Linked DNA regions of Saccharomyces cerevisiae S288C. Changing the gene in region 1 together with any one later gene gives a genetic interaction. Each region holds a gene or a part of one and is shown in the gene's direction. Other genes may lie near its edges. The genes, in order: NET1, MOB1 and CDC15.

Region 1 (3,757 bases):
GATTCTGTGCTACTAGTAATTACGGTAGAAGAGGACGCAGTGAGGGTAGCGGTCTTGGCAGGGTTTATGGTCGTCGATTTTAAAGAACTGCTGCTAGCCGCAGACGATACCGTTGTTGTATACCCTTGCGCTACAGCGGGCATAATACTGGATGAGATGGTGGAGACTGTGTCTGATGTAGTTGAGGTAGAAGAGGACGAGGATGAGGACGAGGAAACAGTGCTTATAAGTGGTTCCACTTCCTCTGCAAACTCACCCAGGTAGTTTCCAGGAGGGTTGTAGGAGCACACAATATAATTGTTCCATGTCGTACCACAATATTTATAACCACATCCAATCTCGGCGGTTGACTTCCAAACCACCTGTGTGAAGTGACCCGTGGATTCAGAAAATCCGGGATTTGAATAATTATACTTGCTTATCTCCCCGTACCAGGCGTCCACCGCTCCCGTGTCTGTGTAACCAAGGGCAAGGTTCTCACCATATGGGCCATCGGAATGCGTTAAGACACCCGAACAATCATATTGGTCGGCGTAGTTCTGCGCATAGGTGGCCAGAGTGTCGGACCAGGTGAGCGGCGCTGTGTCAACATGTAGCGCTCTGAACTTGTTATGCTCGTTCAGCACATCGCTCTCGAAGTTTGGAAACGTGGTTTGTGCCTTGACGGCTACTAGGCATCCTAGCAGAACTGATATTGGAAACTCCAGCATAAGCGTTTTCGTTTTAAGTTGTTTTAAGTTGTTTGGAGTTGCAGGGGTGCAGCAATTATAATTTTATGCCGATATTGGTTTGGCAACTACCGAAAAGCAAGAAGCTAAAAACTTTGAAGTATAGAATATGTTTTAGAGAATTCTTCGACCGAGTTGAAACATGAGAACTGTTTCATCGGCCCTATATAGCAATTACATCCTTCCGTTGCTGGGTCCCTGCCTAGATACCATATTTGTTGTTGAATTAACCGCGGGAACCCGCAATATACGAAAGACGAACACAAGAGAGCAAGCACACACAGCTAGTGCGTAGCGTTGCTAGCTATATTGCCATGGTACCTACCTTTCACCTCCTTGTTAAATCCATAAGTGGACGGTTTTCCTAAACCAGTATTTATCAGTTCTCGAGCACGCAGAGAAAAGTAAACGAAGCGACCTGCATTGCGGTAACTATAAACACCCAGCCGCCTCCAGCAGAACCAGCCATGTGCGAAGAAAAACAATTTTTCGGCCAAACTTACCAACAATAGCGACGCGTTCCTCACATCGTTGGGTTTTTTTCGCCTCTCTTCAAGTTTCCTATACCCGAGCTTAACACAACACAACGGACCCTCTTAATTAGAGGTATCCTCCGTTCTTTTCTTCCGCTTTCCTAATCGAGATACCAGAGCACGGAACAGGACCCTAGTGCATCGGAGAGGAGATCCGTGGCACGCTCACTGCGCCTTTCACTATCACCGATTTCGTAATTCGAACAGGAGTATTTCGCTGCAGGGGAATTACTGTTTGTAGACGAGGGAAAGCAATTATCAGATACATGCCAGGGATAGCGTTCAAGGGGAAAGACATGGTTAAGGCAATACAGTTTTTAGAAATAGTCGTTCCTTGCCACTGTACGACCTGAACTTTACTCAACGAAAAAAAAATTGGAAAAAAAATAGTGCATAACGTTGCTATTAACAGATGTAGTACTGATATGTCCCTGATTGGTGAAGAGTCAGAATGATATAAGCCTATTTGATATGTACGTGTACGTATTCGAAAATAAGATTTGTTTCTCGTAGGGAGCGATATGTGCATTATGTTACCCGTTCCACATGTTTTGAACTTTTTTTCTTTTTCATGGTAAGCGTCAATAATCAATTTGAATAACTAGTGAAGAGTAGCTAGCACGATGAAATAAGTGCCGGAGCTGATCGAATCCCTAGTCTCGGTTCGCCTGAAACAGAGAGAAGTCGATTACTGTACACCGTGCCTCCTTCTATGTACAAGCTACAAGTGGTCTTGGTGCCTCCGAGTCTTCAGGCGACGATGCCAATACAGTTTGGCTACGGACCAACCATCGCCGAATCTTCTCAATTGTTGCCAAACAGAACTAATATGGCGCAAAGCGCCGGAGATGCCTCTTTGCAGTATGCTAATCTGAGATCTGCCAATGTGAGTTTCACGCCAAGCTATTTCAACCAGTCTAGGTTTAGGAAGTTTCTTTTGTTTACCAAGCCGACAAACACGCTGTTGAACTTGAGTGATGAAATCATCGATAAGTGTGAAAAAATGTACCCGAGTTTGCAAGAAGACATTGAAATTTTGAGTTTGCAAGATAACAGCGGTTGTGACCTTGATCCGGATTTTTTGGTAAAGGACGTTTTCAATGTAAATAATATCGTAAGAGTTATATTGAAGAATGAGATAGATCTGGACGATTCCGCACCAGTGTCACTTTATAAGTCGGTAAAACGATCCAAGTTGAACAACGGGTCGCCCCAGTCGGTGCAGCCGCAACAACAAATCCCGTCCTCTTCAGGTGTTCTTCGGATTGCCAAGAAGAGGCCACCTACAGGAACCACGACAACAACAACCATTCGTAGTGCCACTAATGGATCCATGAGGGTTTCTACCCCATTGGCTAGGCAAATTTATCCTCCACCTTCTTCGAAGATCGTCTCCAACAACTCAGATGACGAAGACGAAGACATTGGTGAAAGATCCTTTTTGCCGCCTCCAACGCAGCCTCAGTCACCTCCCATAAGAATTAGTTCGGGCATTGACGCAGGTAAAAAAATAAAATCAAGCATCGTCGAGGAAGATATCGTGTCCAGATCAGCAACCGTGGATCCAGATAAAACAAAGCAGCAACGTCTATTGTCCGGAACTCCTATAATGTCCACCATGACTCCAAACAGAGTTACTCTTACCGGTCAGAGAGTGGTTTCTGAACACGCACATAAAAACGAATTGGTTTTCTCTGCTTCAGCTTCTTCCTCTTCATTTGCTAATGGTGGCACAGCTGCTGTCACTGCTCAGGACATTAATAGGAAACCACCCGTAACCACTCCAAGAATAACATCAGGAATGTTGAAAATCCCCGAGCCAAGAATCTCAGAGATTGAAAAAGAGTTAAAAGAGGGACCTTCCAGTCCGGCCTCCATTTTACCCGCTAAAGCTGCAAAGATTCCAATGAAAAAACCTTACTTGGAAAATGGCGAGAACTACGAATCCGACGATAGCTCAAGTAGCGAAAACCAAGAAACTCCTGAAACAGAACCACATTCAAAGGCTTCCTTGCAACGTAGTCAAAGCTCCATCGCAGATAATAATGGCTCTCCGGTGAAAAATAGTCCTCTCGGTGATGCCATGCCACACAATGTGCATTTAGCAGAACTTCCCAAGGCAAGCAATACCTCGATCACCAAATCTTCAAATGGCGAATCCTGGGGAAAGCAACAAGAACATCAACCACCAAGAAAGAGTTCACTGGAAACTATAGTGGAAAAGAAATCTCAGGCGGAACCTTCCGGTATTGTGGAACCGAAAAGAATGACTAATTTCCTAGATGATAATCAGGTAAGAGAAAAAGAAGATACGAATGATAAACTTTTAGAAAAGGAAATTTTGCCGACAATTCCACATAATGATCAGCCAATACTTGCATCATCTGATAAGTCTAATGGGACGTTGAAATCACTAGCTGGGAAAGTTAGTTCAAACAACAACGCTTCAAAGGAAGATGGCACTATCATTAACGGCACCATTGAGGACGATGGCAA
Region 2 (3,655 bases), on another chromosome or scaffold:
TCTGTCTGGCAATGAATTTTGGTAGACTTTTAGCAAATCTTAGACCACGAGGAGTCAAATGGGAATTTCCGCCTATACGGCCACTAACATTATCTTCGCTCTCGCCACTTCTCGTTATCCAAATTTGTCTGTCAGCCAAATTGAAATTTAACAAATAATATACCGTCTGCGAAGCTAAAAACCCTTGAATATTGTATGCGATGACTTTCTTTCCCACATCTATCATTTTGATGTACTGCAAATTTTCGTCATCCTCAATTGGTTCATAGGCTTTCAAGTAGTTTGCCAGGCGACTTTTAAAATCTTTTAAAGAGCTTTCAGGATCTTTACCTTTGTAATCTGGACCAAATAATTTGAGTCTAATATTTTTCTGTACCAGTGCATGATCCGAACAAACAGATTCTAAAAATAAAACCTTCAAATGAGGACTTCTCTTTCTGATTCTAGCCAGAACGTTTTTTCTTCTTTCACGAGAGGTATTTGTAGCATCAAAAATTCCCACAGATCCTGAACCTTCTAATAAATAATCTAGCAATTCATCCAGAGTATCCATGGCCCATTTGTCTCTCAACCTAGTAGAGTCGGCGTTTTTCGGCTCGAAAAACTTTGAATCCTGGTCCTTTAGGCCATGCTCCTTAGCAAACTTCCTTCTAGTGTTACCGACATTAAACACTTTACAATAGTATAAAGAATAATTTAAAAATCTGGATAATTTATTTGTAATAAATGACTTTCCCGTAGCTGGCAGTCCGACCATGACAATCACTAACTTTGATCCACTATCTTCCTTTGATATGAGACCATCTGGAGATGTTTTAGACTTTGTTAAACCAGGAACATCGATGGTGGTAGGTCTTCTTTTATGGTGTCTCGTAGGTGATTTAATGTCTTTCAAATCAATCCGAGTTACCTCATTTGCTCCATCTGAAGGAGGCATGTAGTCAGTAGTATCGTTTGTGGGAATTTTAGCATTTTTTAGTTGCGTTTCGTCGTTAATATGCAATCGATGTAGCGATTTCAAATTAGTAGCGCTATTTTCAGGAGAGTCAGAAGGTGTATTTTCTTCAGTGATTCCAGGAGAGTTCCAATTGCTCGATATAGGAGTATCGCTCAAAGGTCTTTTCTGAAAAAGTGGTAAGTGCTTAGATAATTCATCATGCGGACCCTTTTCAGCATCAATTTTATCATCGGAACTCCGGGATAAAAGATCATAACTGGAGTCTTGACTAGGTGCCACATGGTGTGGAGATTGTGTAGGAGCAAGATCAATATCAGGCGGCACAGGAGATGTTTCAGAGAAGTCTACTGGTTTGAACATGAGCTTTTATTCCTCTTGCCTTTGTTCCCTTGAATAAACCCTTCTTCTACGCCTCTTGTTATTATTTTTACTCTTTTAGCTTATGGCACAAAAGTACACAAATAGATACTAAAAGGCGAAATTTATTTCACTTGATTTACCCGTAACTGAATACTTGAGTTTGTCTATATATATATATGTATACCTTTTATTGTTAAAAAAAGAATATGCCAACAAAATCTATAATAAATAGTCCATGTACTCCACTATAAATTAATTTGCTATTGTCAGTAATGGCGCGATTAAAAATAAATAGGAAAAGAAATCTCTCCTCAAAAAATCTTATGTCCCCTAATTTCCGTATGTTGTGATTTTGGTATTCAGAGATGATCACGTGATATAAACGTGATTATTATTATCGGTCGGGTATCCCACTCGTATAATATGACAAATACGTTCGATCAAAAGAAGGGTAATACTACTTCCCAAAATGGAAATATCAAAACGTTAGAAGAATTACAATTATAGCTTTGGTAACATTACTGATCTAAAAGAGCCTTAGCTCAGCCCGTTTGAGCTGTATAGATATTTTTTTAGTTTATTCGAGAGAAAACCGGTTTTTTTGTTAGTATCTTCAACAAAATTTTCCTAATTCAATAAGGACTTCAATTTCCATGTCTTTTCTACAAAATTTGTATGTTGCTATTTTCTTTTCTACTTCAAGTATTATTGTTCATCTTTTATTAACAAACTGGGTATGAGTTACCTTTTGAAAGCAGTCATATAAGTCCCGGCCAAACAATAAGATCTACTAGAGGTTTCAAGTGGAATACTGCCAATGCAGCTAATAATGCAGGCTCTGTATCGCCTACTAAGGCAACTCCCCATAACAATACTATTAACGGCAATAATAATAATGCCAATACTATTAACAATAGAGCAGATTTTACAAACAATCCAGTAAACGGATATAATGAAAGCGACCATGGAAGGATGTCTCCCGTCCTCACTACGCCAAAGAGGCACGCCCCTCCGCCTGAACAATTACAAAATGTAACGGACTTTAACTATACACCATCGCATCAGAAGCCGTTTCTACAACCGCAAGCAGGTACGACAGTTACAACACATCAAGACATCAAGCAAATTGTGGAGATGACACTGGGGTCTGAGGGAGTCCTTAACCAAGCTGTGAAGTTACCGCGTGGTGAGGATGAGAATGAATGGCTAGCGGTTCATTGCGTGGATTTTTACAATCAGATTAATATGTTATACGGGTCCATCACAGAATTTTGCTCCCCACAAACATGCCCGAGGATGATAGCGACGAACGAATATGAATATCTTTGGGCATTTCAAAAGGGTCAGCCCCCCGTTTCGGTAAGTGCCCCTAAGTATGTGGAATGTTTGATGAGGTGGTGTCAAGACCAATTTGATGACGAATCTCTTTTTCCTTCCAAAGTCACCGGTACCTTCCCGGAGGGATTCATCCAACGAGTAATTCAACCAATTCTAAGGCGATTATTCAGAGTTTATGCGCATATTTACTGTCATCATTTTAATGAAATTCTTGAACTAAATTTACAAACCGTACTAAACACAAGTTTTAGACATTTTTGTCTTTTTGCACAAGAGTTCGAACTACTAAGACCGGCTGATTTTGGTCCGCTGTTAGAATTAGTGATGGAGTTGAGGGATAGGTAGTATTGTATATTTATATAAGTCTGCTTGTAGGTTGTATTCTTCCATGCATGGGACACAAAAACAAAAATACGGAAACATATTAATATAACATATGGATGGAAGGAAATAAAAACATTCTAGTTTACTATACTTGTATTTATGATTTGAAATCGTTTATTGGAGTTTGAATATAAATATTGGGAACTTGATCTTGTAATTCAGAATCATTAGTATCAGGTAATGAAGACATGGATGTATTCGTATTTGTTTGATTGTCCAATTTTGGTGTTACCGTGGACCCCACATAATTACTATTTATATCATCGTTTTCATCATTTTCTACCATTGTGCTATTGGCATTACTCAGCTGATACTTATTAATGCTGGTATGGTTATTGGTTAGCTTGGGTTTCCCATCTGAATTCAAGTTTAATTTTTGTGTTATGAATTTATACTTGTCTTGTATATTCGAAGTAGATGTTAAGATCTTCAAATTATCAAACCAAGACATCATTGATTCATAAGAATCGGCTTTAAAAACCCAATTGTGACCACGACGAATTATGCCGTTTTGCTTAGCATGCAACACAAACTTAGCATCCGAACCAGTCGAATTTGGTGATGATGTACTGTTTTTCCGGGAATGTTCCGTCACAGTACATTCACTTAATGCTA
Region 3 (3,757 bases), on another chromosome or scaffold:
TCCCCATAGTAATAATGACTTAGTCGCTAAGTGGAATGTGGAAGGCATGAGTGTGAGATGGGCGACCAGTAAGAGCCCATGTGTGCAGATGTAGTTGTTCAAAGTTTCATATAAATACAGCGGCTTGATCAGCTTTGTTTGAGACATTTCTCTGTTCTTTTCCTTCCAGTTAAGCCTATATCATCACTAAGCAATAACCCAAAAAACAACAAATACAATGGTCAAATTAACTTCAATCGCTGCCGGTGTCGCCGCCATTGCTGCTGGTGCCTCCGCCGCAGCAACCACTACATTATCTCAATCTGACGAAAGAGTTAATTTGGTTGAATTAGGTGTTTATGTTTCCGATATCAGAGCTCATTTGGCTGAATACTACTCTTTCTAAGCTGCTCACCCAACTGAAACTTATCCAGTTGAAATTGCAGAAGCTGTTTTCAACTACGGTGATTTCACCACCATGTTGACTGGTATTCCCGCCGACCAAGTTACCAGAGTTATCACTGGTGTTCCATGGTACTCCAGCAGATTAAAGCCAGCTATCTCTAGTGCTCTATCCGTAGACGGTATCTACACTATCGCAAACTAGAGTCCCTGCTTTACGAATGAAACCTGTACAGGTATGAGAGGTTACGAAAAAAAATGATAAATGAAAAAAAAAAAGCTTAATAATATGAAATTAATAGTATGAATAGTTAGGCGCATGTATATAAATATAAATTTTTGTATATATGTATTATTAATATTATAAATTTCTTATTATTAAACCATCCTTTACGGAAATAACGGCCTATTCCCTTAGTATTTTGTTGTAGCTCGTGGAGTTATCCATTTTAAATGGATCTTGGGATAATTTTTACTGCTTCCCTCGTACTGGGAGCTTAATACACGTTCGTCTTGTTATCATCATAAATATGTGTTTATTATTCTCGCCTGGAAGGAAATCTTCAGTATAAATTCGTGAGGAATTTAGAATATAAATAATTCAATCATAAGAAAACATAAAAAGATCAAGTAAATAATAGAGGCATACAAGCATAACCAAATAGTACTATAAACAATTTTAAATTACACGTAAGAGATAATGGGTTATAAAGTATGTTTTTTTAAGCCATTACTGCAGCGTTCTTTATCATTATTTGAGTTCGAATGTGGAAAATGACGACTGAAATTTATAAGATAAAATATTCGAACTATATAGAAGAAAATTTTACACTCTTCGCCTTTGAAAAACATGAGTGAATGTCCTTGATCGTTATTTGGCCTTCTGAAACTGTCCATATGGGTTATTTTGAGTTCCTTATAAAGGCTTGGCGCATTATCGAATATCGTTTAGTAAAATTTATGATCCACTTGCATCGGCATGGGCATGAGCAGTACTCATTACAAAATCCAAATCAGTGATATTTACAGTAGTCACAAATTACTGTTATTTTTTATCCATTTTTGTAGTTTTTGTACAAATATACTATTGGAAATAGAAAAAAATTCCTTTGAAAGGATCAATTTTAAGTGGTAAATAGAATGAACAAGCCCAGGACAATGGATTCAGAAGGGGCCTTATCGTGTCTCATAGATATTTTTCTTCTCGGTAACCTTTCAGTAATTTCTTGAGCACGAACTCGAAGCGTTTCATCAGGTATTTCATAACTATGCATGATTTTTGATGGCTTTGCATCATATTAGAAGAAAATTTTGCAGCTGAAGAGCTCTAATACGGCTTTTCTGTGGTCGTAAAGACAAGGCTGTTCATAACGCTTGTTGCCATTATGTAGCTTTGCACATCTCATATCGGTAAGGATGTCGTTTGTCATCTAGCGGCGAACTACTGTAATGTAATAATGTCCTCTGGCGTCGTGTATGGAAAAGAGGCATAATCAAAATTGGGCCTATCAACTCATTAGCACTCTATGCTATACTGTAGTGCTCTGTGCGGACTTTGCTGTGCCATTATAATCCTTTCCACCTTGCGATGGTCTTTCCGCTTTTCTTGCTGTTATTTTTGTATACGGGAGATCTGCCTCACAAAAGGTATATCTTCTACTTGGAGGCTCGAGGAAGGACAAAACACACATAAGCACTACCCATTTTCCTGGTAAGACTATACCATGAACAGTATGGCCGATACCGATAGAGTCAACTTGACTCCCATCCAGAGGGCATCTGAGAAATCCGTGCAATACCACTTGAAGCAGGTCATTGGGAGGGGTTCTTACGGGGTAGTTTACAAAGCCATTAATAAACATACTGACCAAGTCGTGGCAATAAAGGAGGTCGTGTACGAAAATGATGAGGAACTTAATGACATTATGGCAGAAATTAGCTTGTTAAAAAATTTAAACCATAACAATATTGTTAAATACCACGGCTTCATACGAAAAAGCTATGAATTGTATATCCTCCTCGAATACTGCGCTAATGGTTCTTTGAGGAGGCTCATTTCAAGGAGCTCTACCGGATTAAGTGAAAATGAATCGAAAACCTATGTGACACAGACACTATTGGGGCTGAAATATTTACACGGTGAAGGAGTCATCCACAGGGACATCAAGGCGGCTAACATCCTGCTGAGTGCTGATAACACTGTCAAACTTGCTGATTTTGGCGTTTCCACTATTGTGAACTCCAGCGCCTTAACGCTAGCGGGCACACTCAATTGGATGGCTCCAGAGATCCTGGGCAACAGGGGAGCTTCTACGCTCAGCGACATTTGGTCTCTAGGTGCCACTGTAGTTGAAATGCTCACAAAGAATCCACCCTACCACAATTTGACAGACGCCAATATCTACTACGCTGTTGAAAATGATACCTACTACCCACCTAGCTCTTTCTCTGAGCCACTAAAGGATTTCTTATCTAAATGCTTTGTGAAAAACATGTACAAGAGGCCGACAGCCGACCAGTTACTCAAGCATGTGTGGATCAACTCTACCGAAAATGTGAAGGTCGACAAGCTCAACAAGTTCAAGGAGGACTTTACCGACGCTGATTATCATTGGGATGCCGATTTTCAAGAAGAGAAACTAAATATATCACCCTCTAAATTCAGTCTTGCAGCGGCTCCCGCTGCCTGGGCAGAAAACAATCAAGAACTAGATTTAATGCCCCCCACTGAAAGTCAATTGCTGAGCCAATTGAAGAGTTCATCTAAGCCTTTGACGGACTTGCATGTGCTTTTCAGTGTTTGCTCCCTCGAGAACATCGCTGATACAATTATCGAGTGTCTGTCGCGCACAACTGTTGATAAACGATTAATAACTGCATTTGGCTCCATTTTTGTTTACGATACCCAGCATAACCACTCTAGGTTGCGACTGAAATTCATCGCTATGGGAGGAATTCCACTGATCATTAAATTCGAACATTTAGCCAAAGAGTTCGTCATCGACTACCCTCAGACTTTAATTGAATGTGGAATAATGTATCCTCCGAATTTTGCATCGCTGAAAACCCCAAAGTATATTTTAGAACTCGTCTATAGGTTCTACGATTTAACATCCACAGCCTTCTGGTGTCGCTGGTGTTTCAAACACCTCGATATATCACTCCTTCTGAATAACATCCATGAAAGAAGAGCCCAATCCATACTACTAAAGCTATCGTCATATGCACCATGGTCTTTTGAGAAAATTTTGCCCTCTTTAATTGACTCTAAGCTAAAAAAGAAAATTTTAATCAGTCCTCAAATTACTTACGTAGTCTTCAAATCAATAAACTATATGATAACCACGAATGACGATAAAATACACAAGTCCGCTAT

The links.
Region 2: of NET1 (region 1) and MOB1, a mutation in one rescues a mutant of the other (synthetic rescue), as found in Saccharomyces cerevisiae (2 studies listed by BioGRID).
Region 3: of NET1 (region 1) and CDC15, a mutation in one rescues a mutant of the other (synthetic rescue), as found in Saccharomyces cerevisiae (3 studies listed by BioGRID).

Annotation. Positions count from the first base shown.
Region 1 is NC_001142.9:293,272-297,028, forward strand, and holds the start of NET1 (Net1p), read left to right. Parts: upstream 1-1,973; coding exon 1,974-3,757. Other genes in the region: PRY3 (Pry3p), read right to left, coding at 1-710; YJL077W-B (uncharacterized protein), read left to right, coding at 776-874; ICS3 (Ics3p), read right to left, coding at 1,395-1,790; YJL077W-A (uncharacterized protein), read left to right, coding at 1,528-1,614. UniProt on the Saccharomyces cerevisiae protein: Has a role in chromosome maintenance and is involved in mitotic exit. Inhibits the action of CDC14 by sequestering it in the nucleolus. Also binds to RNA polymerase I and stimulates rRNA synthesis.
Region 2 is NC_001141.2:164,444-168,098, forward strand, and holds MOB1 (Mob1p), read left to right. Parts: upstream 1-1,971; coding exon 1,972-1,991; intron 1,992-2,076; coding exon 2,077-3,001; downstream 3,002-3,655. Other genes in the region: PFK26 (6-phosphofructo-2-kinase), read right to left, coding at 1-1,318; SLM1 (phosphatidylinositol 4,5-bisphosphate-binding protein), read right to left, coding at 3,138-3,655; YIL105W-A (uncharacterized protein), read left to right, coding at 3,221-3,361. UniProt on the Saccharomyces cerevisiae protein: Functions as an activator subunit for the DBF2 protein kinase. Binds to DBF2, which is required for the phosphorylation and activation of DBF2 by the upstream kinase CDC15 in late anaphase.
Region 3 is NC_001133.9:173,484-177,240, reverse strand, and holds the start of CDC15 (serine/threonine protein kinase CDC15), read left to right. Parts: upstream 1-2,105; coding exon 2,106-3,757. Other genes in the region: seripauperin PAU7, read left to right, coding at 218-385. UniProt on the Saccharomyces cerevisiae protein: Protein kinase of the mitotic exit network (MEN) essential for late nuclear division in the mitotic cycle. Promotes mitotic exit by phosphorylating DBF2 and directly switching on DBF2 kinase activity.